4 linked regions of the Macaca fascicularis genome follow. The protein of the gene in region 1 binds, or shares a complex with, the protein of each later gene. Links are inferred from orthologs where the notes say so. Each region holds a gene or a part of one and is shown in the gene's direction. Other genes may lie near its edges.

Region 1 (4,123 bases):
GCCACGGCTTGGGCGGGGGCGCGGGCTGCTCCTCCCTCTGGCTTCGGTCGGAGGAGGGGGGAATTAACACTCTGCAGTAGGTTGGGCTCCCTGACACAGATCCGCCATGACAAAGGAGAGTCGGGGACTTGAGCGGAGGCTCCGACTTGGGCGGAGCCTGGAGGGGGGTGGTTGCGGATAAGTGGACCGGAGGATTTTCACTTTAAAGTCCGGGTCTGCCGGTTTTCGTTTCGCCGTAGTCGACGTCTCAAGTCAGGTAAGGGTTAAATGGGTGCGGTGAGTCCTGCCCGCAGTGTAGAGGCGAGGCCTTGGAGCACTCATTACTGTGTGAGAAACCTTATCCACTTCCTCTTGTACCGAAGTGATTGGGTAGAGAATCCTTTGTACTGGTTTAAATCATTTTTCATTAGAAGCAGAATTAACCAGAGACTGTTTCTGAGATCCTAAGGGAAAAATTAGTAATTTAGACACCTGAGGAAAATAATGCCGTCATAAAGGTTAAATAGTTTACGTATTGAGCCAGTACCTTGTATCCAAAGTGGCTAAGTAATTTGTTTAAAATGTGGGGACCTGTTCTCATTTAGTTAAAAAAATACTGTGAGATTTCCCTGGGAAGGCAAAAGATGATTAATATTCGAGAGTCAGCTTCCAAGGTGAACTCTTCCGTTCACCTAATTTAAAAGTGCACTTCATTCAGGGTGTATATTTTTCTCTAAAGTCGTTTTTTTTTTTGGTGTGGTATCGCTGTGTGGATTAGTATCTTTGTGCTGTTTGCCAACTTGCCAAAGGATATCTTTCCAGAAAAATGTAGCTGAGGTAAATAGAAAAGGTCTAGGAAACTAAAACGCGAGGGAAAGAGAATTAGGTGGATAGTCATGGTGAAGAACAGCTTGAGTGATAACATCCAATTACAGTATGACAGCTAGACGCAAAATGCAGCACTTCTACATTTCAACTGGAGCAATGACATTGGAAACACTTGTAAATCAAGTACTTCCAACGTGATATATTCTAGTACTCACAGTAAGAGTTGAAGTGCCATGACTTGTGGATATTTTTAAAGCATGTGGACATATAACAAGATAAGGAGTTGAGGCATTAGGGTCAGATATTGATCCTTTGTGGTGGATTTATACTCAAAATATCTGAAAACAAACAGTTTGGTCATTCCTCCCCCCAAATTGTTATGCTATTATTGGCTGGCAAATGTTGCAGAGATCTAGTAGGTTTGGGGTGGGGGTAACACTAAAACTAAAATTTAATCACTCCTGACGAAAGTATTATGAAAGTAAAAAGACATGAGTTAAACTGACAAGAATTATGATTCTGGAAATATGATAGAAATCCAGATGTTCTCTGTAAACAATGCTTTTACTATGGAAGAAAAGCTGCTTAATTTCAGATCACTTAGTGGTATTGGAAATGAGTTGAGATTTTGGTCAAGTAAGATTGGGGTAAGTTTTTGAGGCAGCTTTTGAAAGTAATTTTGACATGTGAAATCTGTATCTAATGGACAAATTTTAGTTTTGCTACACTGATGTGTTAATGGCTGAAAGTTTACCTCTGATGCTGAGTATGCTGAATTTTTTTTCCTTTTCTGACTATCCTTTTGTGAAGCTGCATTTTAATTCTTCATGTGAACAGTCTTCCACAGGCAGTTAGATTTCAGGTTTAAAAAACTCATTTACCACAGGTATAATTTTGAGTCTGTTTATTTTGATGGGAAAAATTTTAAATACTCCTTTTTTCCCCCCTGCAGAACATCCAGTCATGGATAAAAATGAGCTGGTTCAGAAGGCCAAACTGGCCGAGCAGGCTGAGCGATATGATGACATGGCAGCCTGCATGAAGTCTGTAACTGAGCAAGGAGCTGAATTATCCAATGAGGAGAGGAATCTTCTCTCAGTTGCTTATAAAAATGTTGTAGGAGCCCGTAGGTCATCTTGGAGGGTCGTCTCAAGTATTGAACAAAAGACGGAAGGTGCTGAGAAAAAACAGCAGATGGCTCGAGAATACAGAGAGAAAATTGAGACGGAGCTAAGAGATATCTGCAATGATGTACTGGTGAGAATCAATTGAATCTGGCTTCATTATACTGTAAGGTTCCTATGAGTATCAGTTACATTACTCTCAACGTTTTCTTCGGTTTATCTTTTCCTTCTAAACATTGTGTGTTCAGATTTAAAAGTCTTCATGGTGTCATAACTAAAAAGATGTTAAGACAATTATAGATATGTGTATGTAAAGTAATTGTAATAATGATGATGAAACAGTTCAGTTTTAAAAATAACACACTTTAGTATTATTGAAAAGATAAACTAATAGTATTACTGCTTTACTTATGGTTAGAACATTTGTGGTAGCTCTATAGCTGGTTATCTTAAATGTACATCTATGGATAAAGGAATTTTACATATTTTATGTAAGAGAGATGTAATAGGATACTGATTGTAGAAATAGTACTCTTCTCAGGATTAGCCGCTATAATGTTAATGTAATGAGTCAGCCATGCAGAAAACTCTGGCGTCACGACTATGAAACCTCTTTCCTGCATTGAATTCTTGAAAATAAATTTTGAACACTCGCAACCATGATGAAAGGTTATGAATAACTCAAGCTTGATTTTTCCAGTTTGAATCGAGTATTTTAAGTATTCAGTACCTACTGTGTTGAAGCACTGCGCTTAAAATGATTAAACTACATTTTGGTTAATTTTAATCTGTCATACAAAGTAGGGCTTTTTGATCAAGAATAGTTTAAATTTGAGGATAAACTAGTAGAAAATCCAAGCTGGCAGTTTTTCGAATAATATTTAAAGTGATTTTGCTAAATGGTTACACTTAATCAGTATGGCAGGACTCTGATATACAAAGAGGGGCAGCAGCATCGCGATTTTTCTGGACAGGTTACTGAATGTGGGACTCAGTATGGAAATCCAGGTGTGTTACTTACTATATGAACCTTATTTATATGGAAGAAGTACTGTAATGAGCAATAGGATAATGTCTGATGTGGTTGTGGGTTTGGGGTTTTTGTTACAGTTGTGATGATGCTATCATTTCTTTACACTTGTATTTACTAATGGAATAGCATCAGTTCCTAAACTGTATTTTTCTCAAATGATACTTGACACTGTCTTTTAAAATAATAGTGATTTTTTAAAACATGCTTATTTGGGTTCACAATCACAAACTCAATGAGACATCTGTCTTGGGGCTTTTTTTTTGTTGTTCTTATTGAAACCTTTACAATGATAGCTGTTATTTGTATCTAAGTTGAAAAAAGGAATATCTTGCTTTTATTGAGGCCAAGTGACAAATACCTATCTTGTGATTTTGCTAAGGTAGTAAGAATATTTAAATTTTGAAAATGTGATTTTTTTCCTATAATAAAAAATGTATTGGGTTTTTTTTTTTTTTTTTCCTTGCTCTCCTTACTAATATCTGTGTAAGTGTAACTCAGTTTTGTTCAGTCTGGTGTTACACTTGATCAAAAAGTTTTTATTTGGGCTTCAAAGGATATGTTACAAGTTAACATTTCCCTTAAGACAAAAGTCAACTTTAGGAATAAAAAGGAATGTGACATTTACCTTTTAATAACACGCTTATTTGCAATACCAGGTAGGTATGTGCATGTTTTCCATATACAAAGTATAAAAGTTCCTGTCATTGTGAGTCTTCTCCTGGGAAAAGACTTGTAGCAGGTTTGTTTTTTTGTGTTTCTTTTGAGACTGAGTTTTGCTCTTGTTGCCCAGGCTTGAGTGCAATGGCATGATCTTAGCTCACTGCAACCTCAGCCTCCCGTGTTCAAGCAATTCTTCTGCCTTGACCTCCCTAGTAGTTGGAATTACAGGGCGTGCGCCACCACGCCCAGCTAATTTTTGTATTTTTAGTAGAGATAGGGTTTCACCTTGTTGGCCAGGCTGGTAACCAGGTCAGGTCTAACTCCCAACCTCAGGTGATCCACTCACCTCAGCCTCCCAAAGTGCTGGGATTACAGGGGTGAGCCACCATGTCTGGCCCAACTTGTAGCAGTTTTGACTATGCTTCCCTTTGGTTTCCTTATCAAGAAAAATTTTTTGCATAGAACCAGTAGATGAGGATGACAAGATAATCTCTTAATA
Region 2 (4,123 bases), on another chromosome or scaffold:
TAAAAACCTCAACACTACAAAGTAAAGGAGGCTTTTACCTCCCATCTCCATTTAAGATCACATTGGTCGGCCTTTCAAGCCGTAAGTTTACGACCTGTGACAAGCGCTTTATCAATTATTAAGTAACCTTTTAAAGTAAAGAGTACTATCATAATTCAGAAGTATTCGGAGACTGATGTAAACCTAAGTTAAAAACATTTTTGCTGTCAAACTGATATTTTTGTTGTATCAAAGATATTGGTGATTAGTAATTTCCAAAAAAGAATTCTTTGAACCAAAAGCACTGTCCAAGCATTCTTATAATCTATATATGCGAGTAAATCTTGGATTAGGTATAATATTTTGTAAGACAATGCTTTTCAAAATGTGTATTAGAATCATTTGGGGTACCTATCCAAAATGCAAATTCCTGGGCCCTGCCCCAGATCTGTGGAAAAAGAATGACCTTGAAATCCTGTTGACTCTATGTATATTCCAATTTTTGTTATACTAGTTGATACTAATGTTGAAAAATTTTAGTCCTCCTCCACTTTGAAGTCCTATGAAATGCTCTTTAAAACCCAGTGGGAGTTTGTGCTTTGATAAACTAAAACAGAAACCAAACTGTACTCTAGATGATTTATTAATTTACAATTAATAGTTAAGTATTTGCTACTAAATTTATAATGTAGTGGCTGGGACTAGAGAAACTTGTGGTATATAGGATTTCTGTGTCTAGCCAACTATGTAGATATTCTTAGAGGTTTAATTGTTGTTAGGCAAACAAGATGTTTGTGATTTAGATTGATATTTAATGGCATCGAGAAGACCTTGTCTGTAGTACTGGGCACTGCTAGGTATCTGTTGCTGACATTTCCTTCTGCAACTGCCCTGTTCTTTTATGGATTAGCAATTACCACCTGTTCCCAATCTGGAGACACTTTCTTCATCTTTGTCACGTGTTCATAAAATGACTGCAGGTCTGCAGGTCATTTTTTAATCGAGGTGTTGGGATGCATCTCTTTCTGACTTACTGTATTGGTTTTATAGTTAAGCTGCCAGTTCGGTAGGCTATATTTTGGCCCCATTTCCCTTTTCAGGAATCTTCAATCCCCAGATTTATCATCCTGTTATGCATTTTTTGACAAGTATTGTTAAAAACCTGTTGTGCTTTCTCAAAACCCAACAACATACTTTTTTCTGAATGCATCAGCATATAGATCCTGAATAAAAATACATTTTTATTCACTTTCTCCTGCTGATTATCCTCTCAGCACAGAATGCTTTTGCAATAACATCATAGGATTTAGAATTACAATATCTGAGTTTTGGTCATAACTCTTGTCACTTTTTAACTTTTGTCTTGGGAACTCTAAGAACATCTGTTAGCATTTCCCTTAGCTGGTGAATACCAGAATGTTGGCCCACCTCATGAGAACCAAATATTTTTAAAATATGTAATGTAACATACAAATATATATTGTTTGTCTCCTAAGACTGTTTCTCCAATAAACCATCAGCCTGTACTTTTTGTTTTCAACAATACCAAAACTAGAAGGTTAGATATAATGACTCATTCAAAATTAGCAAACTTTAAAAATTCTGACTATGGATATCTTGTCTACCTTTTTTGTGCAGCTGCCAACTATAAACCTCCACCACTATAAATGTTGCATGGAATATATGGGATCACCTCAAAGTTCATTGATATCTGCACTTACATTTATAGAAAACATTTGTTAAAAATTTTTCCTTCTTACCAGGTTATCAACACTGGCAATAGCATGGCTCCTAATGTTAGTGTGGAAATAATGGTACCAAATTCTTTCAGCCCCCAAACTGATAAGCTGTTCAACATTTTGGATGTCCAGGTAAAAATGTATTTCTTCCACCTGACCTTTATTGTGTGTCTTAAATACTAAAATAAATGCAAACCAATCCTTTATTCAAGTAATAATGCGAAAATGGATAACTGTTTTCAGTCACACTGTAAGCTATGAATTCACCATGCATTTATTGAGTCATGCTTTGAATATTATATATTTCATTACAGCTATAGATTTACAGTGCAACTTTTACATTCGATTTAAATAACAGAACCATATTCTACCATCTCCATTGAATAATTATTTTAAGATACATTTTTGTGTGATATGGACCTACAGAAGTAACTTGATTGGTAGACTTCTTCATAGCACTTGAAACTACTGTGCAAATATGAGGATTATAGCCTTTTTTGAAGGAAGCACTATTCAAACCACTTCTTAAGAACCAATATTCTTTCATTGATGGTTCCATCAGAATTGTTTTGAGCTTGCCAGGTTGAAGACAGAAGTCAACAAATCTAAATACGTTTGAGGTCTGATTTTAAAATCCTACTTAAATTCCGGATTCAGAGAGAAGAATATGGTGTTATATTGTTTCCCCTATAAAGGAAAAGAAATATTTAATATCATGCTAATGTTCCAATATCAATTTTTACATTTCTGCAAGGTTTAAGGCCACGTTATCAGCTTAGAACCTATATCCAACCTTCTATAATTCAGCTGGGTTTTTGTGTTTCTGCCACAGACATTTAGTCACTCCCAAATATGTCAAAAAAAAAATTATACAATTTCAAAGGTACTTGATATATTTTAGCAAAGATAAGCTACTGGAACTTTTAAAACCATGTTGCTTTTTGCTGTTTTTTCCAATGATGAAAGATAAGATTTCTCTTCCTTTCTATCTTCATAGACTACTACTGGAGAATGCCACTTTGAAAATTATCAAAGAGTATGTGCATTAGAGCAGCAAAAGAGTGCAATGCACACCTTGAAAGGCATGTTCCAGTTCTTGTCCAAGACTGATAAGAGGCTATTGGTAAGTTTCCATTTTTCAGGTTGTAGTTGCTGCTTTCCAACAGAGAAGTGAAACACTTAAAATCAAGTCAATGGGTTTGAGCTGTCACTTCAATAAAAGAGAAGCCAAGTTTAGGTAGTATTCTTGCATGGAAGGAACAAGCACGGTTGGAGAGTTGAGAAAGACCTAGGGTCTATCCCATATATAAATATGTTAGCTGGGCATGGTAGCTCATGCCTGTAAGCACTTTGGGAGGCCAAGGTGAGCAGATCACAAGGTCAGGAGTTTGAGACCAGCCTGGACAACAGAGTGAAACCCCGTCTCTACTAAAAATACAAAAATCAGCCAGGTGTGGTGGCAGGTGCCTGTAATCCCAGCTACGTGGGAGGCTGAGGCAGGAGAATTGCTTGAATCCGGGAGGTGGAGGTTGCAGTGAGCCAAGATCATGCCACTGCACTCCAGCCTGGGCGACAGAGCAAGACTCCATGTCAAAAAGAAAAAAAAAGTTATACAGTTTCATTTTTTTATCTAACAAATGCCCACTATTTGCCAACAAAACATTGTTCCAAACCCTTCAGGACACCAAGATGTTGTCTTCACCTGGGCAGCCTTTGTGGCATGGGTTAATTTTCATTCTTTTCAGCTTAGTGAATGTATGAAAAGAAACTGGAGAAGCAGTCATCACCTTGAAATGATCCACGTTTTACAACAAACATAGAATATGTAACTTAGCAAGACTCTGATTAGAACATTTTTTTTAAAAATTCTGTCCCAGAAGATTGTTAATACAAATAGGAACATATGCTCTATTTTAAATACTTTATTATAATTTAGAAAATAAGCATTCATGTCTTGTTTAAAGATAATTTAAATGCCACTGAGGAAAGCAGATGTTAAATTTCATATTTATGGAAAGATGATTTTCAAAATGCCATTAGAGTATATATTAAATTATATATAAAATATTTTTAAAATATTTTCCAGTGTTGAAAATTTTAATGTATCACTTTTATATTCCTTTCAAGTACTGCATAAAAGCTGATCCACATTGTTTAAATTTCCTATGTAATTTCGGGAAAATGGAAAGTGGAAAAGAAGCCAGTGTTCATATCCAGTTGGAAGGCCGACCATCCATTTTAGAAATGGTAAGTCTAGGCCGAGCGCAGTGGCTCAAGCCTGTAATCCCAGCACTTTGGGAGGCCGAGACGGGCGGATCACGAGGTCAGGAGATCGAGACCATCCTGGCTAACACGGTGAAACCCCGTCTCTACTAAAAATACAAGAAAATTAGCCGGGCGGGGTG
Region 3 (4,013 bases), on another chromosome or scaffold:
TGCCACCATGCCCAGCTAATTTTTTGTATTTTTAGTAGAAATAGGTTTTCACCATATTGGCCAGGGTGGTCTCAAACTCCTGGCCTCAAGTGATCCACCCACCTCAGCCTCCCAAAGTGCTGAGATTACAAGCGTGAGCCACTGCATCTGGCCCCTATAGACTTTTGTAATGAGCATGAATAGCATTTATGTTCATTATATGAACACACAGGCATACATTGAAAGATTGTAATATTTGATAGAGGGGCCCTCTTAATACAATATTGTTTTAATTTGTTTTATATTTAAATTTTTTAAATAAATAAGAATAAAGATATCTCTTCTTTTGACTTGATAATTTATTAACTAAGAGAATTTTGGGCCGCCTTGGAAATCTACATTTAACAAGTTACAGCTGAATAAATTTAAACAACTCCAGAATATACATTCCTCTAACTTAGGCTCAAATCCCAATTACGGAATAGTAATTGATAATCTACTAAATAATTGCCCTTTCTTATTTGATTTCAAAGCTTCAGGACAGGTGCAGTGGCTCCCGCCTGTTATCCCAACATTTTGGGAAGCATAGGCAGATTGCTTGATGCCAGGTGTTGGAGATGAGGCTGGTCAATATAGTGAGACTTTGTCTCTCTATATATATATAAAAAAAATAAAATTTAAAAATGTAAAGGTGCAGTTCAAATTAAGATTCTGCTTTTATGGTGAATTACAGTCAAGTGCCTTTGCTTAACCATGAAAAAGTAAGTTCAGAAATTAAGCATAGGCAACACCTTTCCAGGAACACTTTTTATCCACTTGAGAAAAAACAAAGCTACATAGCATTGAACTTCTAAATACAAGATTTGTTTTTGAACAGCAGATGTGATTACAAGTGAGTCTCATCTGTTCATTAGAAGACCATTCAGAAGTTCTGTGTCACTTGTAATCTTTTTGCATTTGGAAGTTAATATGGATGCATTTGTATTTTTTTTTTGTATGGAGTCTCACTCTGTCGCCCAGGCTGGAGTACAGTTGTTCAATCTCAGCCCACTGCAACCTCTGCCTCCTGAGTTCAAGTGATTCTCCTGCCTCAGCCTCCCAAGTAGCTGGGATTACAGGCACATGCCACCACGCCCAGCTAATTTTTTGTATTTTTAGTAGAGATGGGGTTTCACCACTTTGGCCAGGCTGGTCTCGAACTCCTGACCTCAGATGATCCGCCTGCCTCAGCCTCCCAAAGTGCTGGGGTTATAGGTGTGAGCCACTGCACCCAGCCTGGATGCATTTATTTGTATTTATTGAGTAATAGGGAGGCCTTTCCCCTAATAATCACAGAAGATTGTGTTTTTAGTAATTTCATTTTTAGATTCATTTTTAATTATAGTCAAGGTTTACATTATAAATAGAGTTTGTGCTTTATTAAAGTTATATAAAACATCTTACTTTTGTGCATATTCTACTTTCTCTACAGTTTTTGGCTGAAGATTATACACTATTGGATGTTCTCTACTATGTTACACGTGATGACTTAAAATGCTTGAGACTAAGGTACCACTTTTCTTTCTGTTGTCACGATAGAAAGAGTACCGGGCTAATATAAGAAAGTCTGAGTACCTGCCCAGGCTGGGTCTCTAATTAGCTTTGCAGTTCTGGACAGAGCTCTCTAGTTCTTAGCTGCTCTGAGTAAACTGAGTTAGTTGGACCATTCTATTTTTGAGGGCTCTAATAACCAATATTTCTATATTAGTAAGTGAAAATCAACTGGAAGAATTTTTTTGAATAATATGCAGACTAAGTCCATGCAGATATTCTGAAGCTGCCTTACACAAATGCTTTAATTGAGTTCATGATGGTGTTATACTCAATAAATATTTGGAGGAGGTGCTGACTTGCCCTCCAAAAGCCTGGTATAATCTGATATAATTTATTATTAATTAAGGCCAAGCATAGAACTTTTTTTTTTTTTCCGAGATGGAGTCTCGCTTTGTCACCCAGGCTGCAATGCAGTGGCGTGATCTTGGCTCACTGCAAGCTCCGCTTCCCAAGTTCACGCCATTCTTCTGCCTCAGCCTCCCGAGTAGCTGAGACTACAGGTGCTCGCCACCATGCCCAGCTAATTTTTTTGTGTTTTCAGTAAAGACAGGGTTTCACCGTGTTAGCCAGGGTGGTCTCAATCTCCTGACCTCATGATCTGCCTGCCTCAGCCTCCCAAAGTGCTGGGATTACAGGTGTGAGCCACCACACCCAGCCCAAGCAGAAAACTATTATACCCACCATTATAAAGACAAATTTCAAAAATGCTGAAAATCTGAAATGATGTTTTGGGACACAGCAGTTTGTGGGAGTGAAAAGAGAAGGAATGGAGGGAAGATGAGAAAATATATACAAAAAGAATACATAATAACTGATCAGACTTTGGGATCTTCTTCTGACCAGAGCAGATGAAAGCTAAGAAGTCACTTTTCTATTTCAAGGGCAGTGTTTCAAATGAAATGTTCTTTTCACCATGTTCTTGTGTCTTTCAACAGGGGAGGGATGCTGTGCACACTGTGGAAGGCCATCATTGACTTTCGAAACAAACAGACTTGACTGTTGCTCAATTTAATCTTCAATGGAAATTCTAAAAATTAATACAGATCTGACCTTCTTGGGGGTGGGAAAATCGAAGGGAGAGGAGAAAGGAGCTGCACTTTAAATCCAGTATTTGTTTACTCACGTTAAAAAAAAAAAAAAACAGACAAAACACACTGAAATTTCCTAACTACATCTATTTCTATAATTTTTAAGGACTCTTCATAAGGACTCTTAAAATAATCCTGAACATTAGAACCCTAACGTTCAGGAAGATTTTAATCTAAGCATTTTTATGGAAATATTTTTAATGCAGCAGCTATTGCACTTCAGCCAAATGTTTATTTCACACAAAACGGATGTAACATTTCATGTGATTGTGCACCACTGGAACAAAACCAAAATGTGACCATAACTTTTTAGGCTTCTGTGTGTTTGTAATATGCTCTAATAATCTGAGTAGAAATGCATAATTTCAATTACTGTATAAAGTTTATGTTTTTTTAAGTGTGCAGAATCTGAGAGCAATGGTTTTTACTTCTCTGTGTTAATTGTAATATTGACTATATTTTGTAACTTAAGTTTCTGACCTGTCGTACATTTGTTTGAGTCGTTTATGTACTACTGAACTGTACCAGTTGCACATGCTTGAACCGTAGTAACGTTAGCTTGTTCTAAAGCTATCCATTGTGTCATATTTACTCTAAAAATTAAAAAGACTCTCAACATACTGTTTTGATAACTTCTAAAGAATTCTTATTTTGTATTGACAAACTAGATAGTCTGCTGTGTTAAATTTCCAGTCGTTTCTCCAGCTATAACATTTAGTAAAATCTGTCTTCTATTCAAGCAGTCAGACAACTGACATCCAGGTTGTTCCTCAGGGGAATGGAGGTTTAAGAAAGGGTAAGCCTGGGCAACAAAGTGAGACCCCATCTCTACAAAAACTCAAACATTCAGCTAGGTGTGGTTGTGCACACCTGTGGTCCTAGCTACATGGGAGGCTGAGGCAGGAGGATCACTTGAGCCCGGGAGGTTGAGATTGCAGTGAGCCATGATTGTGCCATTTCACTCTAGCTTGGGCAACAGAGTAAGACCCTGTCTCAAAAAAAAAAAAAAAAAAAAAAAAAAGAGGGTGAGGAAAAAAAGAATAAAGGGAAGTATATTTTTCTCAAGGCCCCAAGTTATCTTGGATGACTATTGTGTATCTTAAGGCGTCTGCAAAGACCATCTTAATGGAGAATACTACGTATTTATTTATTTATTTGTTTATTTATTTATTTATTGACAGAGTCTTGCTCTGTTGCTCCGGCTGGAGTGCAGTGGCACCATCTCAGCTTACTGCAACCTCCACCTCCCGGGTTCAAGTGATTCTTGTAGGTCAGCCTCCTGAGTAGCTGGGATTATAGGCGTGTACCACTACACCCAGCTAATTTGTATTTTTAGTAGCAATGAGGTTTTGC
Region 4 (4,123 bases), on another chromosome or scaffold:
GCCATGAGGCCACAAAATAATTGGTCTCAGTCCCTCTTCATGCTACTCCAATTAACTTTCTGTGTCTTTACACTCTACCTCATTCCAAATGAGATTTGAAGCATTCATAAGCAGCCTGACAGTACTCTGGGGCTGCAGAACTTGTAGCTATTTTCCCAGACCAGTTTGGGGGTTTTCACGTGTTCCTTTCTGAGACTGAGATCCCCTTTGGGAGCTTCAGGGAGACAGGGTCATATGGGAAAGAGAGCCCAAGTAAGAGTTCAGAGACCAGGGTTTCTAGGCCTGGCTCCTGCCCCGCATGCTCTCTGGCTCTGAGCTCTGTCATTGGATGGGTACAGTAGCAGGTTGCAGTGCTCCCCAGGGCCTCTGCTCATCCCACTTGACACAGGGGCCAGGATTTCCCAGTAGTGATGTGAGCACAGATGTCCCTCTGAGTGACATTATTACACAACAGAAATCAGACATAGTTTATTTTTCTTCCCTTGTAAGAATAAATAGAAAAACTTTTTCTTCAATCTTTGGTGTCCCTAAACAACTATGTTCTGCCTTCCAAAATTCATTTAATAACTGAGGCTTTTAGCTCTATGGTGAGATTAAAAGTTACTTAGTCAAGCTAAGTGATAGGCAGATAACTGCTGAATTGGCAAGGGGAGGGTCTGCAGACTTAGCAGCTTTCCCCCACTTCACCCTCCCCAACACATCTCAGAGGAGCCAAACTCCAGATCTAGGAAAGATCTCTGGATTCCTTGAGTGAGCCCTTATAGGACTCTGTCCTCCTGAAAAGAAGCTGAAGATCTCTTTCTGTCACTCATGCCTAATTCTGATTCCCAAGGGCTAATAGGCTGTGTTCGCCTTCTGTAATCCGTTATTCACAAGCATCATTTAAAATCGGATTATGCTCAAGACGCCCATTTCCACACAAAAGACTGCGTGTCTTGATGAATGAGTTGCTAACAGTAAAGCTTCTTCAAATAGAAAAGGTCAGAGGATCATCCAGCATTATCTCCCCCAGGTAATTCAAGTCACAAGCTCTAGAGTAGGGCACAAGACTGTCTCATAGTTGAGAAGTTTTACTGAGAAATTCCCGCCCCATTGGAGATAAGTTTGCAACATGTCACTTGGGAAAGCAATTCTGTTGTTAATAATAAGCCCATTGCTCGTTTTGTTAGATAACCTTGTGTGAGATGGGTATTTAGAAGAAACCCGGCAACAAGGCTGAGTAAAGGCTTTTAGAAGGTGTGAAGATTTCCACCTTCAGTGATCAGCCACCATTCTGATGGCTCGGTTATTGAAATAATTATATCACCAATGATTACTGTGATGACAGTTCCTGATTCGTTGTTCTCATCTTCAAAGGAAACTTGAAGGATACCTATGACTCTGCAGAATTCTAGAGAGGGCCCAGATTTGTGTGCTGCACCTAGAACAATGGAATAGGCTACTAGCCAAAGGGGGCTTTCAGAGAGACGGCCAGGTCCAGTGTAATCTGGAGTTTACAAGGGCAGGGAAGGGACTGTGTCCTCCTCCTCTTTGCATACCTAGGCTCTGCTGCGCATTGGGTGCCAACGAGAATATGGTGAACAGATGAGGGAACATACAAAGGGATGCCACACTGGATCTGTTGTTATGAAGAACCAGAAAGAGGACTGAGAGCTTACAGGGGAAAGTCTGAGTGTTGAGTCCTAATGGAACAGCTTATGAGGTATGCACTAATGCAATTTCTTGTTCCCCTTGGCCCTAGAAATAAAAGAACTTGAGAACAACATTCGGAAAGCCTTGTCATTTGACAACCGAGGGGAGGAGCACCGGTCGGCATCATCTCCTGATGGCCAGCTGAGCCCTGGGGAGAATGGCGAAGTCCGGCAAGGCCAGGCCAAGCGCCTGGGCCTGGATGAGTTCAACTTCATCAAGGTGTTGGGCAAAGGCAGCTTTGGCAAGGTCTGTGGCACACATGGGTGGAACTGCTGGTTTTGTTCTACTCCTTAGCGTTGTTTCATCTGTTTGATCTAAGATTGAGAGAGGAACTTTTCAGACTGATCTCGTTAGGTTTTCTTTCCTTCCTTGTAAGTGCAAATGACCTGAGGCCAAGCAGATAGGAACCCTGGTTCTACTATTAATTGGCTATATGAGACTTTCACATAGTGATTTAATCTCTTTGGAATTCAGTTTTTCTCATTTGTTGAATGGGGACAGGAATCAAGTGAGATGGTAAATGAGAAAGCACTTTGGAAAGTTTTAAATGCTCAGTGTTCCAAGTTAATAATAGTATCAATACATGTCTTCCCTGCTTCAGAGATCCAGCTGAAATTCTGTTTTTAATTCATTATGAAGACTTTGAGAATGAATTCCTGCCCTCAGTAAACCTAGGGTTCAAAGCAAATTTAGCATGCATTACTTTGGAAGGTAAATTTTATTTAACTGATCTTTCTGGCATGTAGTAAATGTTTTGTTTATCCTCTATATGTGGCAAGAGAATGGGAATAATCATCTCATGCCTTGGATCAGGGTCCTCTGTCCTTGGTGTCATTCTCCATATCTTGTTCCCCACTGAGATGAATGCAGTGGTGTGGGGTGTGGCGTTTAGTATGCTCAATAAAGCATAAAGGTGGTCAGCCACCATACTGATGGCTAGGTGAAATGAAAAAATTAACCCCTGTTCATTTTAGAAAGAAGATGAAGGGGCAGGAAGCAGAGGAAGCTGTTTGCATTTCACCTGAGATCTCTGATTTTTCCCTGGCTCTATTCAGAGCTGAGCCTGGGAGTCACCTTTCTGGGGCCTCCTGAGAGGTTCTGGGAGGTCCTGCTCTGGGGACCAGGAAGCTCCTGGGATCACATGCCCTGGCATGTCCTGGACTCTTGAAAGCAGCAGCCTGTCAATCAGCTGGTCCATCCCACCTGGTTCCCAGCTGTCTCACCTGCCCCTATCTCACCCTGATATCACTCTGGTGGGAAGGTAACTGGGGTTTACTTAAATGGCAAAAGCTGAAGCAATTACATTCTTTAGAGACTGGCTAAATAAGAAGAGGTCCTCTGGTTAGGCATAATTCTGGGGCGTGAGCAGGATGCAGTCTAATTTTGAGCAAGACTCCAAGATTCTAGGTTTTCATATAGTGTAGGCAGGATGGGAACTTAGATGACTTTGGAGCATTTAGGTTATCTCTTAGGAAAAATCACAGCCAAAGTTTGAGCCAGTTTTAAAGAGTCTGTAAAATATGTGGGTGACAAAAAGTCTTCAGGTTAACATCATGAATTCCCTCATTAAGTTTCTGATGGCTGCTTTTTAGCTTTGATGACTTACATTGGAATACTGTACTTAGGAGTTACTTATTTAAGAAGAGAAAGGCTTGTGACGTTTGTAGGTAAATGAGTGCAAAAATATCAAATGATAGGAACACTTTAAGAAAATAGAACTGTTAATTAGCTCTCTTGAATAGGAATCACGTTTCCAGCTTCAAAGTTATAAAAGAAACTATAAAGGCAAACAAGGACAGATTCAACTACATAAAGATACATGATTCTTTTCAATAGAATAAAATAACAGAAAATCATAAAACAGGCTTAGAAAAACTTTTACAGAAAGTAAAGGGTTAGTATCTTTATATATCATATGTGTATAAATTTGTAAGAAATTAATATGATAGCAGCATAATAAGACAAAAGAGACGGGAGTAATTTACACAAAAAGAAATACAGTCAGAAAACATATTTTTAAGGTTTCATTTTAAGTTAAAATAGCATCACTGTAACATTTCACACCTATTAAGTGAGCAAAAAGACTTTTTAAGTGAAACTACTCAGTGTTGTTAAGTCACCATGAAACTCCAACACTCCTACATTACTAGTGCCACATTGTATCACACATCCTTTTTGAAAATAGGAAATGTGCAAAATGCTTAACCCTTTACCTACTTATGAGAGTTTCCATCTTACAAATGTAATCCAAGAGGAATTGTTTTAATTGTGTACAAAAATACTCAATGCAATTTACATAATACTTAATGATTAGATATAACTTAAGTGTCTAATTTGAGGGAAATGGTTAAATAAATTATGTTTACTTGAATTGAATATAAGCAACCGTGATAATGATGGAGACCACGTGGAGAATGTCTGTAAGATAACG

What was found. Proteins that work in one complex are often made in the same cells at the same time.
Region 2: the proteins of YWHAZ (region 1) and ITGA4 are in contact, whole or in part, in a crystal structure (PDB 4HKC), measured with the Homo sapiens proteins. The link is inferred for Macaca fascicularis from reciprocal best matches to the Homo sapiens genes YWHAZ and ITGA4. Residues at the interface, in NP_001129171.1 of Homo sapiens: Lys49, Arg56, Lys120, Arg127, Tyr128, Glu131, Gly169, Leu172, Asn173, Val176, Tyr179, Glu180, Ile217, Leu220, Asn224, Leu227, Trp228; in NP_000876.3 of Homo sapiens: Arg1007, Gln1008, Tyr1009, Lys1010, Ser1011, Ile1012, Leu1013.
Region 3: the proteins of YWHAZ (region 1) and MAP3K5 are in contact, whole or in part, in a crystal structure (PDB 6EJL), measured with the Homo sapiens proteins. The link is inferred for Macaca fascicularis from reciprocal best matches to the Homo sapiens genes YWHAZ and MAP3K5. Residues at the interface, in NP_001129171.1 of Homo sapiens: Val46, Lys49, Asn50, Arg56, Lys120, Arg127, Tyr128, Glu131, Gly169, Leu172, Asn173, Val176, Tyr179, Glu180, Ile217, Leu220, Asp223, Asn224, Leu227, Trp228; in NP_005914.1 of Homo sapiens: Ser964, Ile965, Ser966, Leu967, Pro968, Val969.
Region 4: the proteins of YWHAZ (region 1) and PRKCE are in contact, whole or in part, in a crystal structure (PDB 2WH0), measured with the Homo sapiens proteins. The link is inferred for Macaca fascicularis from reciprocal best matches to the Homo sapiens genes YWHAZ and PRKCE. Residues at the interface, in NP_001129171.1 of Homo sapiens: Asn42, Ser45, Val46, Lys49, Arg56, Lys120, Arg127, Tyr128, Gly169, Leu172, Asn173, Val176, Glu180, Leu216, Leu220, Asp223, Asn224, Leu227, Trp228; in NP_005391.1 of Homo sapiens: Lys365, Ala366, Leu367, Ser368, Phe369, Asp370, Asn371, Arg372.

Annotation. Positions count from the first base shown.
Region 1 is NC_088382.1:110,574,360-110,578,482, reverse strand, and holds part of YWHAZ (14-3-3 protein zeta/delta), read left to right. Parts: exon of another isoform or gene 1-256; intron 257-1,759; 5' UTR 1,760-1,770; coding exon 1,771-2,064; intron 2,065-4,123.
Region 2 is NC_088386.1:77,073,568-77,077,690, forward strand, and holds part of ITGA4 (integrin alpha-4), read left to right. Parts: intron 1-1,742; coding exon 1,743-1,850; intron 1,851-1,974; exon of another isoform or gene 1,975-2,391; coding exon of another isoform or gene 2,392-2,405; intron 2,406-2,715; coding exon 2,716-2,841; intron 2,842-3,845; coding exon 3,846-3,965; intron 3,966-4,123. Other genes in the region: CERKL (ceramide kinase-like protein), read right to left, coding at 2,392-2,405. UniProt on the Homo sapiens protein: Integrins alpha-4/beta-1 (VLA-4) and alpha-4/beta-7 are receptors for fibronectin. They recognize one or more domains within the alternatively spliced CS-1 and CS-5 regions of fibronectin. They are also receptors for VCAM1.
Region 3 is NC_088378.1:40,609,808-40,613,820, reverse strand, and holds the end of MAP3K5 (mitogen-activated protein kinase kinase kinase 5), read left to right. Parts: intron 1-1,450; coding exon 1,451-1,527; intron 1,528-2,507; coding exon 2,508-2,568; 3' UTR 2,569-3,280; downstream 3,281-4,013. UniProt on the Homo sapiens protein: Serine/threonine kinase which acts as an essential component of the MAP kinase signal transduction pathway. Plays an important role in the cascades of cellular responses evoked by changes in the environment.
Region 4 is NC_088387.1:76,045,417-76,049,539, reverse strand, and holds part of PRKCE (protein kinase C epsilon type), read left to right. Parts: intron 1-1,741; coding exon 1,742-1,938; intron 1,939-4,123.